Schizosaccharomyces pombe: one gene and its partners. The gene in region 1 interacts genetically with each later gene. Each region holds a gene or a part of one and is shown in the gene's direction. Other genes may lie near its edges.

Region 1 (6,490 bases):
GAAGACTTGAAGATTGCCGAAAGTCCACTGCCATATTTAAAGATTGACTCAACGACTCACTATCGGAGCTAATTATCTCAGTTACAGTATCATTAGCTTCAGTTTCAACCCAAGCAGTATAATAACGCACTACATGTTCATGATGTAAACGAGACAAAGTCATAACTTCACGTAAAATTCTGCTATTCTCTTTATCATCGCTCAAAAGGACAAGCTTTTTAACCGCATAAAACCTTCCATCAATTCGATTTTTGACTTTAACTACTTCACCAAAACCGCCACGTCCTAAAAATTCAAGTTCTTCAAAATCTGTTTCATAACGTGAAACGCTTTTCCTGTACAACAAATCAATAATTCCATCCTGTTGACCACCATAAGAAGGGCGTGCAGATTTTGAAAAGGTACCCTGCTCAACTGGAGGAAGAACTGCTGTACCCAAACGAATGACATGACTACTTAACAAGTCAATGGCGCTAGGGCGTTTCCTTGAATCGCGCATTAAACAGCGACGAACCAAATCTTGATAAGACCCCGGAAGAAGAGGAATTACATGAGTCATAATCAGTTTTAGTGAAGAGAATTTATTCAAAACGTGAGCTCCACAAAGCATCTGCAATACTAATAGTCCAAAACACCAGATGTCAGTTTTTCTCGATGCAGCTGCAAATGATGACTCAGAAACCTCTGGGGGATACAGCCCTTCCGGTAGAATATTGGTAATGGATTGAGAATTAATGTTAAAAGGATGAGATGCGTTCATGTCTCGTAAAGTGCGTGTAAACCCAAAATCCATTAGCTTTGCAAAAGTTCTATGGCCTGAATGAAAAAGCACCACATTGTCCAAGTGCAAACTTTTGTGTGAAATTCCAAGACGATGCAGCTCAGCTAAACCTTCTAAAATATTGTTTGAAAAAGCTCTAACGGTTTCAACGTCTAAAGTAAGGACGGTTTGTAAAAGACTAAACAGAGTGAACTTCGGAGAATATTCTTGCAAAACGTACAACCTCCAACCATAACCTCGTGTCTCTCTTTCCAGTTGATACTCATAAATTGAAGCTAGTAAATCATGCCGAATAACTTTCAGACTTTCAAGTTCATATTCTAATTCCTGTATTTCACGTTTTCCGTCTTCTGTACTCCAGTAAGGCGTACTAATTCGGACGGTTCTAAGTAGAAAAACACAATCCTGTAAAGATATCTCTTTAGATTCAGGCTTGACCAAAGTCAAAGTAGAAAGGTTGGAATGCGAGATTGTATACAAAGGAAGCACTCTATTAAATGTAACCAAAGAATCGTGACAGTCTCTAACGGATATAGAACAATCAAAATAAATAGAAGTTGGGAGGGTTTCGAGAGAAGTTGTTTCCTTACTATTCGTCTTTTTCTTAGAAGAAGATTGCGGTGTTTCGTATGAGCGGCGTTGTAATTCATCTTGAATTTTGTTCTGAAGCGTTTGTTCTTCCTCAAATAAGGCATCTTTCTCCCGTTTTAACCTAAGTTGTAAATCCACTTCCGCTCTCTCTCGATCATGCTTTAGTTGTACCGCACGTTCCTCTTCCAAGCTAGCAAATTGAGAAGAGAGGTCAGACTGCCAATCATTAAGATAGTCCTGCACTATACTGGCAAGTTCAAAAATCATTTCCTCTCCTAGCAAGTCTTTTGCCTTTGTATCTAACTTATCAAGCAAAAATCGAATCTGAGAGTTTAGGACATTTTCTCCATTTTGTAACTTGATCACTGGTTTCACATAAGGATAGCTTCTTCCAAGCTCAATACAAAGATCAAGTTTCGCAATACTTTTAGAGTTTGCACTTCTTGAACATAGATGTATACAATAAACATGGCCGTTTGTAACCTAAGATACCATTGTTAGTAAATGGGTAGTGAACAAACATTAATCATACATTCCAAGCATTCCTAACTTTCAACTCCTCAAAATCATCCATAAAAATGGCTTTGAGGGCCTCAATTTCATTTTCTTGAATTTCCTTGCATAGTTCCAGACGTTTCGCCGCATCCATGAACAGCTTTTACCAACTATTGTTGCCAATAATTTACTAGTTTAATAGGAAGCAAATATATTTATTCACAATTAAACTGTTGGTTGAAAATTCGTCCTGTGTAAACTGGAAGGAAAGAAAGCAAATCAGTTTATATCAGGACGGCAATATAGGACTTGAAAATATAATTATTATCAATTCTATTTCTTTTCTTTCCTCTGAATTGGATTTTTAGATAAATTGCTTGTTTGCCGCGAATTTGCTGGAGGAAGAAGTTTCTCGCTCGTGGTATACTAAAGATGGAAGAACGCAGTATACTGGTATTGTAATGAGTATAGATTGATTTGAGCCGAATAAATGCGATAATCGGCACGGATCATACATTCTTTAGTTAAGATGTAATTTTGAGTTGGATAAGATGAATCAGACTTCAGATCTTCAATCGATAACGAACAGTTGGATATAATGATTATCTGCATTTGTATGCAAAGCGCTTCATTGTTTGAAGTGAAGCGGTCAAAAAGTTTTAACTTTTAATCGCGTTTGGTTAACTTTTCTTCATTGTTTTACCATAATCATGGATTTTTGATTAAACTACAAAGACATACTTCATAACTGATAAAATAGATACACCAGTAAACTATAACAGCGTTTCATATAATGCAATATAATACAAATTTGTAGTTGCATTCGAAATGTTATACCTTTTTTCCTCCTCTCCTTTCTTCATCATGGTCAGGAGAAGTTTGGAAAATGCAAGCACGCTAGCCTGAAAGCTCGAAACCGCGCAAACTACAGTTTATTTTCTAATTTTACTCTTTGTTCAGACTAATAAGTTATTACACTTATAAAAACAACCTATGAAAATGGTGTGAGTTAAAAACTAGAATCCTGCTCGATTACTAGTAATATGGATGGTTTGTATACTGTTGAAAAAGTCAAGGTTAAATTATTGCAAGCTACAGAAGCTACGGCAGTCATTATATTGGAAAGTAAAGCCTCTGATATACTTTGCTAGCATTGTTCATCGTACGTAAAAACGTGGTAAGGGTAGTGCCTTCATCATCGTTGACGAAGTGAGAATTTTCGAATTACTATTAGATTTTTCTCCCTTGCACGAAATTAACCTACAAAATGGAGGCAGCTCAAGCTTTTGAAAATCTCGCAAACCTAGAGCAAGAGTTTGGAAAAGCAGAAATCGAAATATGTATGTTTAATCGATTTTGCATTTTTGTAGCATAAAATTACGTTTTTTATAAAAAATGTGTTAACAATTGCTAATGTATCTTGGTGCTAGTGAAGAAACAAAATGAGCTTTTTCAACCGCTTTTTGAGCAGCGTCGTGATATTTTGAAGACCATTAACAACTTTTGGGTAGTAGTTCTGGAAGCTGCTGGGGATGAAATCAGTATGTAAAATTGTATACTATTATTGTTTTTGTTTAAACATTGTTGAAATTCTAATTAAGTTATTTCAGGCCAGTACATAACACCTGAAGATAGTGTGTTACTTGAAAAACTCGAAAATATTTATGTTGAAAGGTTTAATGAAAAGGAACCAAGGGATGTCCGAATTTCGCTTACCTTTCAACCAAACGAATATCTTCAGGACGACAACCTTACCTTGGTAAAAGAAGTGAGAATTAAAGAGGAAAAAGCAAAGGATGATGAGGGTTTGGAAAAAAAGATAACCAAGTATACTTCGCAACCTGTTGATATACATTGGAAACCAGGAAAGAGTTTATTTAGAAAAAATAAAAAATTACCTCCTAATTTTTTTGACTATTTTCAATGGACCGGAGAGGAAGAGGACGATGATTTTGATGGAGCAACACTCACAATTTTTCTGGCAGAGGATCTTTTTCCAAATGCTGTAAAATATTTTACAGAAGCCATGACCGAAGAAGCGAGTGATGAGGATGAGTCAGTAGATTTGGAGGAAGATGAGGAAGAAGAAGACGAAGAAGACGAAGAAGGGGACGAAGAAAAGCAAGGTACGAAAACAGGTCTTAAAAAAATAAGGCGAAAGCATGAATAGATGATATGATAGATGTCAATGTATTGTAAAACTAACACAAAAATCGCAGAACCACCTTCCAAAAAGTCCAAGAAGTCTAATTAATTTAAGGAACGAGAACACAGACATGAAATTTTTTTTGTCTTCCCAAAGCTCGAGGTTACCTATGGAATGATTGGTTATTCGTTTATTGGGAAGATGGTTCAAAGAATTAAATAATACAATATAAAGATTTAGTTACAGCACAATAACCAATACCAACAATGCAATTAAGATGATAATGAGTACGGTAATACAACATCCAGATTTAGAGTCTGCGCTTGCAATCGTAAAATCTTTCAACCGCTTCATACCCCTGCGAAGCTTACTATTAGTGGTCTCAATGGAATTGTCAAGAGTATCTAACAAGTCAGCCTGTTGACCCAATTCTTCGCCCATCAAAGCTGCCTGCCCACGAATGTTTCCAATCGTGTCGTAAACCCCGTCCAGCATTACGTCTTGTTGCTGATAAAGCTGCTCTTGATATTGTCGATTGACAGCATGATCTTCTTCAGACAAACCAGCTGAGGCACCATTGTCAACAGTATAAGGTTCTGTAGAAACTGGTGTGCTTGGGGCAGCACCCATCTTTAACTGTATATTGTTTAACTCAATATCCAGTTCCGAGACAAATCTCCTTCTCGACTTTAGTTCTTCTTCATCTAACCCAAAATGCTCAGAATTTTTCATCGCTATTTCCACAGCAGCTTTTAAGTCCTTCAATGTTTCGCTTAACTCATCAATGGCGTAAGTAAGCTCAGTATTTGGTGAAAGGACTCCAGAGTTTCGTGCGGCCATAAAAGAATTGTAAAGCTTTCGCACTTGCTCCATTTGATTTGATGCATCCCTATATTTCGAATAAATGTCAGTTAAATAAAATCTTAAAGCAACAAAAGGAATCTATTAAGACATTTCTGGTTCATCATTGCACAACTTACGCTTTGACTTCATAAAAGGGGTCCTCCATGTTGATGATGTAGAGATATGAGCCAATTTTCTACTTGGAAATGCTTTTATAATTTAAAGAAAAATAAGATAATATAAAATAAACGAAGCAAATTCGTATTATCAGGTATGCTGTCTGCAAATACTAAAGTACTGTGCTGATTCAGTCAAGTAACGACTTTACGATAGATAACGCTACCTAACTGCTCACTCAAAGATCACCGTAAACATTGAGTCCTTACAAAACAAGTAATGGAGAATAAATAAGAAAGCAATATCTCAATCTTGTTGAAAAAACAGCAACCTCCCCTTGTCACTATTTTGTTTTGATTCAACCGTATTCCACCGTTGTATGTTAGATTAAATGTAAACATCTAGGTAAATAAAACGTTTTCAATGGCCAAAAGCAATCTTTCATTCTAGCCTTTGTGCTAAAAAATTAATTCTATTGCTAAAAACCTAAGACTAAATGTTTTAAGAGAAACTGAACACAAAGAAAGTCTTGTGAGCTAAAACAGTACGCTATATATCGCTAGCTTGATGTAAACAAAAGACGCGTAGACACTATTAACATGTTATCAAGAACCACAACATGTCTGAAATTATAACGTCTTTGCAAACAGAGCTGAGCAATCGCCATGCTAACATGGTATCTGAAGCAGTATTAGCATTCAGTGAGCATCATGATAGTGCATTGCATTCATATTTTTTGAATGCACGTGTCAAGTACGTCCATAAGTTTCTTCAGCTAATTGACCCAACAATTCAGAGACGTGATTTTAGAAAGCCTAAGAACGACAGAGGAGAAGCTTCGTGCTTTAGATAAATTACAGCTGGATGCTTCGAAAAACCTGTCAAACCTGTTGGTGGAATATAATAGTATAAACGCAGAATTGGAGTCCGTCAATAGTAAGATCTCTTCTATTTCTTCCCAAGAATATGCATTGGAAGAATTTCAGGCACTTTCCCAGAATTTTGAGAAGAATTTAGTTCAGCATCGTCGTAATTCCCAAAATAAGCTCAAATGTGCAATGGAGGTAAACATAAAAACAAATTATATTGTCATATTACTAACCTCAATAAATTTAAAGAAACTAAAGATGATTGAAACCTCAACTCATAAAGCTATTCTCGACAATTTTTAAATTTCAGAGATCTAATGTCATACTGCCTCAAACCAAGCTTGATAATAACGAAGAAAGTCAACTTTCATCAAACACGCTGACATCGTTATATTAAGGTCTAAATGAAACGGCGCTAAATTTGCTTCTGAGCTCTATGAAACATACATAAAGAAAAGATGTTTAAATGCGTAATTTCTGATAAAGTTATTCTTCTTGGATAGCTTTTTGATATTTACTACAATTGATATTCTAAATGACTTATTATCTTATTCTCTTACGTTAACGAAGTTTAAAAAATTTATTTTGCGATATGCAGTGAGTTTTCCACTTCCACCGGTAATCATATTCCTTTGATCAGTATAAGTT
Region 2 (5,591 bases), 1.4 Mb from region 1:
AATTCTTTATGAAAAATGGATTCTTTATGATCCCGAGGCTTGTGCTCCCTGGCTTGGTTACGCTGCCTTAGAGACTAAGCTTGGAGATAGTGATCGTGCTCGCGCTTTATATAATTTGGCTGTAAACCAGCCTATTTTGGAAACCCCAGAGCTTGTGTGGAAGGCTTATATTGATTTTGAATTCGAGGAAATGGAATACGGAAAAGCTAGAAGTATTTACCAGCAGTTACTACGGACTGCACCTCATGTTAAAGTTTGGATTAGTTTTGCAAACTTTGAAATTGCCCATCTGGAGGACGATGACGAAGAACCACCGAATGAAGAAGTGGCTTCTCCAACCGCTGTTGTGCGTGCGCGAAATGTTTTTGAAAATGCATTGGCCCATTTACGCCAGCAGGGTTTGAAGGAAGAGCGAGTTGTATTACTTGAAGCATGGAAACAATTTGAGGCAATGCATGGCACGGAAGATACACGTAAGCATGTCTCTTCACTAATGCCACAGGTTGTTAAGAAACGCCGTAGACTTGAAGACGGTTCATTCGAAGAATATTTGGACTATCTGTTTCCGGATACGGCGACTGATCAAGGAGATAAGATGCGCAAAATGCTCGAACTTTCGCGAAAATGGAAAGAGGAAATGGCTAAAAAGAAGCTGGAGGCCTAGATTACATATGACATTTATTGGCGCTATCAGTTTAATATTTAGTAATCGTGTAAAATATTAGTAATTAATTGTTTACGAGGCAATGGGTCATGTAAATGGACGTTGTTACGAAGTTGAGGATATTCAGCGCTTTGGACTGTTCGGATAATAATAAAATAACTGTTTTTGCATTTGAAAGGCCGGAATGGCGCGTAGAAATAAGACAAGCAATCCATATTAGTATTATTAACCTTGAGTTTCGATCTGAGTTTACTTACTAAGCAAGATAAGCGAAAAATTTATGGATATTATGTTGAGGGAATCACACTTGTAGAAATGAGAAAGTTGTAAACATGACAATTTTGAAGAATCCAACGCAATTCGTAAATAACACATTAAAATACAATAAAATGAAAAATCCAATCCAAAATATATTTAATATGTACATATTTATATTTATAAATTGATTGTTCTTTACCTTGCCCCATTGACATACGATCGAGTATCTACCAGTGCGACTAATTTTAGTTTTGTTACTCAAAGTGGCAGGACTCACAGGTAAAGAAGCGGCTGGTTTGGAGTTGTGCTGATCTGATGAACTTGTCAATCAAATGAGATTACAAAATCTGACATTGGTTATTTTCAGCACTGACAGCTTATTCGGACCGGTTTACCCAAATGTTCTGCTAAAGTGAATTTACAGAATACAAAAATCGGCTTATGCGACCAACGTATTAGGCAACATTTTGACTTAAAAGAAAAAATTCATACACAGATTCTGCTAAAAACTTAAAGACACAAAGATGTTCGTATGAATAAAAAATGACTGACTATAGTGAAAGAAATACCAACTGTTGCTAGTTAAAGTTGCAGCAAGTTTTTTGAGTTATTGTTGCCGAGATGTCGATCTCTTCAAAGGTAACATCCAGCATCAAAGATCGCCGAGAGTTCCCAACCATTATAGCCAGTAACAACCCAGCATACTTTGCGTTATGGTGCCTTAAAGGTACGTTCACTGACGATCGTTTTCAAACTCGGTTGACACTCGGGTGAAATGAAGTTGCCTTCTGTCAACTGCCACTTCCAAGAATCTGAATAAGAGAACGAGGATCCGGGAAATTTTCGTAAAAAGAATTCATTCAATTAAAATTAAGGGACTTGCAAAAACTATTTACTGTGGTTTTTAAGCTAAATCCTTGCGATTATAAGAAAACACTTATTCTTTGTTTATCAACAAGGCTGATTTAGCTTCACCACCGTTTTCCTTTTCCAAATCCTAACATTTTTCTTCGAACTTTACTTTTTTAATTGATGCAAATCATCTTGTGCTATTCTCTCTTCTCTTACTCTTGTCAGCTGTGATTTGATTTTCCACTAATCTTGTCTAAAAAGGTACTGAGCATATCCTTTATTTTTATTTTCAAGGTTATTGTGGTTTTCATCAAACTATTCTTATTCATTCTCTCTTTGTATCTTCGTTAATCTCGGGTTTTTTTTGTTTGCCACTTCTCTCTTTCTTTAGCCTCGTGATTTTAGCAGACCCCGGGTTACAACTTTTTCGTTGTTATACTTCCTATTGTTGAACTTACTTGATCTGTGTCGCTTCTCGGCTAAAAAAGTGCCCTTGCTCCTTACTTCCTTTTTCTTTTAGTATTTTTTTTGCTCCTTTATCAGTTCTTGACTTCAAGCTTGAGCTAACCGTAGTCCCTTTTACGTTTACTCGTTTTGAAGAATAATTGGTGTAGATTGCTTAAAAGGATTTCAAATTCGGCGGGACTTAAAATCTGCGAAAACAGTAATTTTTATTTTTTTTCGTTTTCGTGATTTTGGGGCACTACTTATTCTTCCTGCTATCGGCGTTTGTTCTTGGTTTTTCTCTTCGGTTATTGCGTTTACACACAGCAGTTTTGAAAATTATTGAGTAAAATTTTGGTATTCGAAAACTGCTTGTCTTTAACTAAAAAAAATATTATCACATCGTTCGTTTTACGCCAATCTTTGCGTTTGCCAGTAATTTATACTGCAGCAATTGTCTTTAAAAAACTTTATACGTGTTAAATATATTATTAAAGAAAGATGAGGGAATCGAACGTTAGCATCGTATGGAATAACAAAGCTTCTGTCACTATCAATACAGTCCTTTATGATCGACGTGCGCTTGACTGTGACTCCGAAATGTCATTAATGAATTCATTAAGCCATCTCGTTTATTTGACTTCGACTTCACCGAAAATTCGTGAGATCCTTACTATGGATGGTGGTTTGATGCGTTTAATGAATATTTTACGTGCCGGACGTGGACAAACATTTGCCCGAATGACAATATGGCAGCTAGCTCTTCAGTGTGTCGTAAATGTTGGGATACGTGGGTCTGAAGCTATTCGAATTCGTGTTGTGGAAGCTGGTATCGTTCCTATTGTTGTCACCCTTTTAGATGATTTTTTGTTTGCGCTTGAGTCCGTTGTTTCTCACCATTCTCGATTTCAATTTTCCCTTACACCTTCTACTACCCCTCCTCCATCATCCGCATCTGCTCCATTCCCCATTAATTCTAATATTAGCAATTCTCTTGATTCTGTGTCTCAACACAATTCATCTGCTGACTCTTTGTTCGTCAACGGTGATGTACCATCTCCATTTGGAGCTAGTACGGCAAGCTCTAGCTCTAGAAGAGTTTATTCGGTGGATTTACGGGATAGTGGAGATGTCCAACTTCCAAATCAATCTACGTTTCGACATTCCGTGAATCGTGATTTATTGGGATCAAGCTCTACCACTAGTCATGATCGATCCTCCGGCTCCATTTATTCAAATGATTCATTTCAAGATCCTCGTGTTCAAGCAAACTCTCCATTAACCATTCAAAGAATTTCATCAGCTGCACCCTCTACTCCTACTTCTACTGAAAATGTTAATTATAACATGACTACCCCTTCTTCTCCTTCATACTCTCGTCAAACAGGCCCTGCTAGTGAGACAATTAATGACGAGATAGACTCTCCAAATTTTTTCTTTCCAACTCCGCTTAATATTATGACTACTACTCAGGATTCATCACGGGATGTGCAATTGTCTTTAAATAATGTTCAATCACAGGCCTTGAATAATCGTCAGCGTCGTAATCAACTTTTACCTGGTGTTCCTTCTACATCTGCGTTATTAGATGGCCGCAGGCCCGAAAATGTAGTTGATTATCACGGGATTGCCTCATTCTTTGACAACTTTGATAAGAAGATTAATAAACTCCCTCGTGAAGAAGATATACTTTTTGGTTTGCAAATTCTTGCTTATACTAGTAAAAACTATTTCCATATGCGTCCTTACTTCGAGTCTTCTAAAGATGTTCCAAGTTTACGTATGTCGCCCTTACGTAGCGGCAGTAAAACGTGGAATATTTTTCAGTTAGTCGAGCAGTTCACCTTGAAATTCTACCCCCCACAAGTTCAATACTGGGCCAGAGCTATCATGAATAATTACTGTCGGAAAGATGAAAGTCATGGTGGTATACGTCGATGCGCCAATTTGTTATGTAACAAATGGGAAGAGCACAGTCGTCAATTTGCTAAATGCAGAAGATGCCGACGTACAAAATATTGCAGTAAAGAATGCCAGCATCAAGCATGGCCGGGACATAGTCGATGGTGTCGCGTAATTCATAAAGATGGCAGGAATTCCAAACGAGAGAGCTCAAAAATAAACTCAGTCACTGAAAGCGAATCAACAGCATCCCCGGCTGCATCTGTTATTCCTGTTGGAACAGAATCTGTAACTTCAAGCACTCAGAGTGATAGCAGATTGTAGTACTAATGACAGTTTAATGACAATTTCTATCCATTTCTTACTAGGTATGCTTACGCTTCAAATAGACTTACAGTTGGAGGTCACACATATTCTTTTAATCATTTTTCCGGCATTCAATACTACGTTTTGAATTCATTCCTTAATTCCCTTTGCCATCAATTATTATTTCATGTGCCGTGAAGAATATGAATTTCAGCTAACTCTTTACTCGCAATTAAGTTAATCGTTTAACCTTTTTTTATGCAATTAATTGCCGATACATTCAGATTTGTTCTTCTTATTATGGATATCGTGTGGTTTTAGCAGGGCAATAATCATGAAAGCTTTTGAAACCTACAGGGAGGTACGAAGGTGTGGAGGCCACTGTCCTAATTTATTAAAACTTCGAGTTTCTTTTCCGACTGTCCTTCTGTTGCTTATCGTTTTTTCTCGTAACTTAAATGCTTTTACTTAAAATAATAAACTTTTTTCTTTTCAACTTGTTTTTGTTTGACTTGGTTACTTATTAATAAATTAGTCAAAAATTATACATAGCTTTTTCGGAATAGTTAAACCTATGAACAGGGCTAAAGCAATACGATGTGATATTGCATGAAGGCTAAAGCTTTTTGTACTTGTATACCTGGAAGTCAAGAAATAGATCGTACTAATGATGCTTTCGCTAAATTGACTAAACGAAAGTATTATTTCAAGTTATCTTGTCTGTTGACGCTAATATTTATAGAACATTTAGGAGGAATCAATATTATAATGAATTCAGTATTTCTCTATTAGTAGAACAGACTTTGTAATTTGCTTATTACTATAAAATTAAACCAACTCACTTGCAAATAGTGAACTGGAAGAAGTACCGTAGTTTAAGCATAACCATTATACAGTTGAGACAGCAATAAATTGAAGGCTGCTGTATTCAGTGCACTTGTGCTGCATTAAATTGATCTTTAAACCTATTTTTATCTTTGGTTTTCGAAATGCTGCCCCAAGATGACATGACTGATGAAATGAAATCATTGGCAAGCCGTTTAGAAGACACCACTCAGGCTTTTTATGACTTGGCATTGATCGTTTATAACCTTGAAGATACTACTCCATCTGATGCCATTCCTGAAAGCCTTGATACTCTTATCAGAGATCTCAAATCTCTTCC
Region 3 (3,723 bases), 890 kb from region 1:
CAAAACATGATAGACAGGAATCCAAGATTCAATCGAAACAAAAATAAAAAGAAAAGATTAAATCCTAAAAGGAATCAAACAATTGATATTTATATTCAATTCAAAAACTTTTAAAATGTTGCAAAACGGAGTTAACTTGAATGGCCTCTACTAGCAGCAAAATCCCACTCAGGTCTTCTGATACTACTGTAAAGCGTAAGTAGAATAGGGCAATTGACTAGAATCTTCTAAGCGAAAACGGAATATTGCTATAAAGAAATAAAATTTTCTTAGTCAAATCCTTCGACAAGTAAGATACTGTTCAATACGGGGCCAGTTTGTTGATGTTGACAGCTAAGAGAGACGCGAATGTCTAAGTAGGTACCTTTGCGTATTCACTCCAAGCTTCTACAAGTCACATGTCTTTTTTAAGTAAAGGAAGCGAAATCTGCGCTATAGTTAAATAATATAATAGCTTAACATTTGTTATCTTTCGATAAAGCAATATATGTTCTTACGACGTATGTTTTAAAGTAAACAATCGTCTTTATTAGTATGAAACTATGAATTGGTTTTTATGAAAAGCTAGTTGAGCAAAATTAGCGGTTTGGATTCGACATCTGAATAGAATTTTAGTTAAACTTGCTCCCACACTACTTATGCCCAAAGTTTTACCGAAGTTGACAGTTTAATCAACAATTCCTGAATTTGCTTATACTTGGTGTATCCTTTCTAAAAAAAAACTAGAAGATTTTTGTTACTGTACTTGAAAATACCTATTATAATCTGTGGCTACAACATCACAAGGTCAGAGTCTATACCCATTGTTCTTGGCTACAAAAGATCAAGTCCAGAAGGAGCTATCCATAACCAATATTACAAGGCATGCAAACATATTTTGAGAGTACATCATGACTTGTTAGGCAAGTAGTAAGAAAGACGGATATAAAAAAATAGCCTACAGCACCCCGGATTCCCATGTTGTCTCCAACCATAGTACTAACGAGGCCCTCAGACGCTTAACTGCAGTGATCGGACGGGAACTGGTGTTTTCGCCTAGGTATGGCCGTAGACATTAAACATTCTAGTTTATAAATTATAAAGGTTAGAAAAAAAGTTTACCGGTAGTTTATAAGTTGTTTGAAATTAATGGGTAAAGGTTTTTGTGCTTTTATTTTAGTTTATTGCAAACATAAATCAGAGCTTTAAAGTTTGTATTTAGTATAACCATACATTAAGAATTGCGAAACAACTGCAGACTCCAAATTTAGACTGGAAAACGTCTTACTCGGAAAAGAGATTTTGCTGCTATTTTATCATTATTAACACTCACTTTGCTATTAACGTTACAGTCATATTAATATCATACCCAAAAATTTGAAATCTTTTTTCCGCATGAAAAAGAATATAATATAATGTATATGCCTCCACTCGGAATCGAACCAAGGATCTTCGCATTACAAGTGCGATGCTGTACCACTAAGCCATAGAGGCAGTATCGTCGGAATGTATTTATTAAATTATATATACTAATGCTAGTTTTAATACTCGACAAGTTGGCTGGTCAAAAAGTAGTTTCTTAATCTGCTGTTACTGATCGCTTTCGACAATAACAATTAAATAATAGTGCAGTTTATTTATTTAAAAGTCTTTTGTTGACATAGGATTTTGTTCAAGATAAATGGTTGAATATAGTTTAGTAGAACTACAACCTGCAATCAGGCAAAAAGCATGAACAAACTAATATAGCTCTAAAGTAAAAAACTATTTGAATCATTTGCTATACAGATTATTAGGCACCGACCCTTCAGTTATTTGACTACAAATGTTAACATGTCAATAAGTTAGGCATTCTCTGGTTTTCTTGATGTAAATAAACTGACGACATGTACCGTATCTACGTAAGAGCAATTAACGAATACTGTAACCATTTCTTATAATGCTTAACAATGTACGACATACCGCAGTGCACCCAAAAGTTTGAGTAAACTAGTACAAAGGTGTTTGGCCTCCATACACCTATGGATGTTCAAGAAAAGGCGAAAACCTAAGGATCAAATAAGTTTTTGATTAAATAAATTATATAAGGGTATTTATAAACTTACATCTATGAATATTAAACCCACAATATGAGAGTATGCAAATATGAGACGTTTCAAGAATTTAGCTGATTTTTTTATACATTAAAAAAACGTTTCATCCTTTGTCAATATTCTATAAATTTATCCTCTGTTGTTAGAAATTCGAAAACTTGATGTTTAAAGGTACAGCCCCTCTGTACGCGGCTTTATGATATTAAGACACGCACCTCGCGTTCACGAATCTGCCTTCTCCCTAACACACAAAACATTCGCTTTTTGCAATTGCAATAATCGATTCAAAATGATGTCTGGAGGCGGTAAAGGTAAACATGTTGGAGGTAAGGGAGGTTCTAAAATCGGCGAACGCGGTCAAATGTCGCATTCAGCTCGCGCTGGTTTACAATTTCCTGTTGGACGTGTTCGACGCTTTTTAAAGGCAAAAACTCAAAATAATATGCGCGTCGGTGCAAAAAGTGCTGTATATAGTGCTGCAGTCCTTGAATATTTGACCGCTGAAGTCTTGGAACTTGCGGGAAACGCGGCAAAAGATTTGAAGGTCAAACGTATCACACCTAGACATCTTCAACTTGCTATTCGAGGTGATGAGGAGTTGGACACTTTAATTCGTGCTACAATTGCGGGCGGTGGTGTATTGCCTCATATCAATAAACAGCTCTTGATTCGTACAAAGGAAAAATATCCCGAGGAGGAAGAAATTATTTAATCATTTTTGTGTTTTCGTTTCTTTTTACAATCTAAGGATTTATTTTATTTAATTGGTTACCTTTTTCTATGATTAAAGCATGGAAAGTAAAATGTGCATGCGCAGTTTAATGGAAATGCTCTTCCCTCCATGTATTTGCTCCCTTTTCATTCCTCTCAAGCCTCCAAACAAATTTGTCCTGCGTTTCATCTTTAGACGTTATATTTCCAATATGTCTCGTTTCATTCTGTCCAATTACACTTTGCCAGGTTCAATCGTTAGTATGTATCCATGCATCTAGTGGTTTCTCCTGCGCTGTTTAGTTTTACTTCTTGTTTATACGATTTATTAATTTTGAATTTTTCCAAACGCTCTAGGTATAGACTTAAGCTGTAAATGATGCTCGCTTAGCGTTCAATATAGTGTGAAATACAAATATTCATATCACTTTCATCTTGTAAAATTTAATAAACACGTATGTCTGTTGAACAATAAGCACATTTACGTTCTTTTACCGTTTGCTCGTAAAATTAATTCACCTCTTTGATACTAAATACATCTAAGTAAGTGCAGTTTATATGTTCAGAGCAAACACGAACACTAAAAACTAAAGTCTAAAGAATATACACCTTTTTTAATACTTAAGTATAAAAAATATGTAAATAGAATATAGTATAAATGAGGATTAAAAAACTGGAAAACAAAGGATAAGAGTAAGTAAGAAAAAGGGAGATTAAAAGGCTTCAGTTTTATCAGGAATGAAAGAAAAATAGATTTAAACACTCAGAGCCTGCTTTTGTAAAAAGAACGGCGATAATTCCCTTGACAGTCAAAGAAAGCATTTAAAGTGATATTTACAATAAAGACACAGTAAAGGGAACAGAACTAAAAACGTTACTAAATTCACATTTAATGGCAAGCTCAATATGTCAGTGTTTTTTATATGCCCTGTAAATTGCC

What was found.
Region 2: mutations in ccp1 (region 1) and mub1 together harm fitness more than expected from each alone (negative genetic interaction), as found in Schizosaccharomyces pombe (2 studies listed by BioGRID).
Region 3: mutations in ccp1 (region 1) and pht1 together harm fitness more than expected from each alone (negative genetic interaction), as found in Schizosaccharomyces pombe (3 studies listed by BioGRID, with this or other methods).

Annotation. Positions count from the first base shown.
Region 1 is NC_003423.3:2,392,206-2,398,695, reverse strand, and holds ccp1 (CENP-A histone disassembly chaperone Ccp1), read left to right. Parts: upstream 1-3,114; 5' UTR 3,115-3,134; coding exon 3,135-3,207; exon of another isoform or gene 3,208-3,297; coding exon 3,298-3,408; exon of another isoform or gene 3,409-3,477; coding exon 3,478-3,993; exon of another isoform or gene 3,994-4,086; coding exon 4,087-4,121; 3' UTR 4,122-4,253; coding exon of another isoform or gene 4,254-4,902; 3' UTR 4,903-4,993; coding exon of another isoform or gene 4,994-5,022; 3' UTR 5,023-5,127; exon of another isoform or gene 5,128-5,138; intron 5,139-5,189; 3' UTR 5,190-5,224; downstream 5,225-6,490. Other genes in the region: eIF2 alpha kinase Gcn2, read right to left, coding at 1-1,855, 1,905-2,021; tlg1 (SNARE protein Tgl1), read right to left, coding at 4,254-4,902, 4,994-5,022; protein mug20, read left to right, coding at 5,593-5,726, 5,770-6,037, 6,092-6,145.
Region 2 is NC_003423.3:3,766,106-3,771,696, reverse strand, and holds mub1 (armadillo-type fold protein, zf-MYND type zinc finger protein, Mub1-Rad6-Ubr2 ubiquitin ligase complex Mub1), read left to right. Parts: upstream 1-1,712; 5' UTR 1,713-2,719; coding exon 2,720-4,444; 3' UTR 4,445-5,091; downstream 5,092-5,591. Other genes in the region: protein Cwf4, read left to right, coding at 1-664; mediator complex subunit Med10, read left to right, coding at 5,416-5,591.
Region 3 is NC_003423.3:1,501,703-1,505,425, reverse strand, and holds pht1 (histone H2A.Z-like protein Pht1), read left to right. Parts: upstream 1-1,981; 5' UTR 1,982-2,364; coding exon 2,365-2,784; 3' UTR 2,785-3,223; downstream 3,224-3,723. Other genes in the region: cytochrome c oxidase assembly protein Shy1, read right to left, coding at 1-8. UniProt on the Schizosaccharomyces pombe protein: Variant histone H2A which can replace H2A in some nucleosomes. Nucleosomes wrap and compact DNA into chromatin, limiting DNA accessibility to the cellular machineries which require DNA as a template.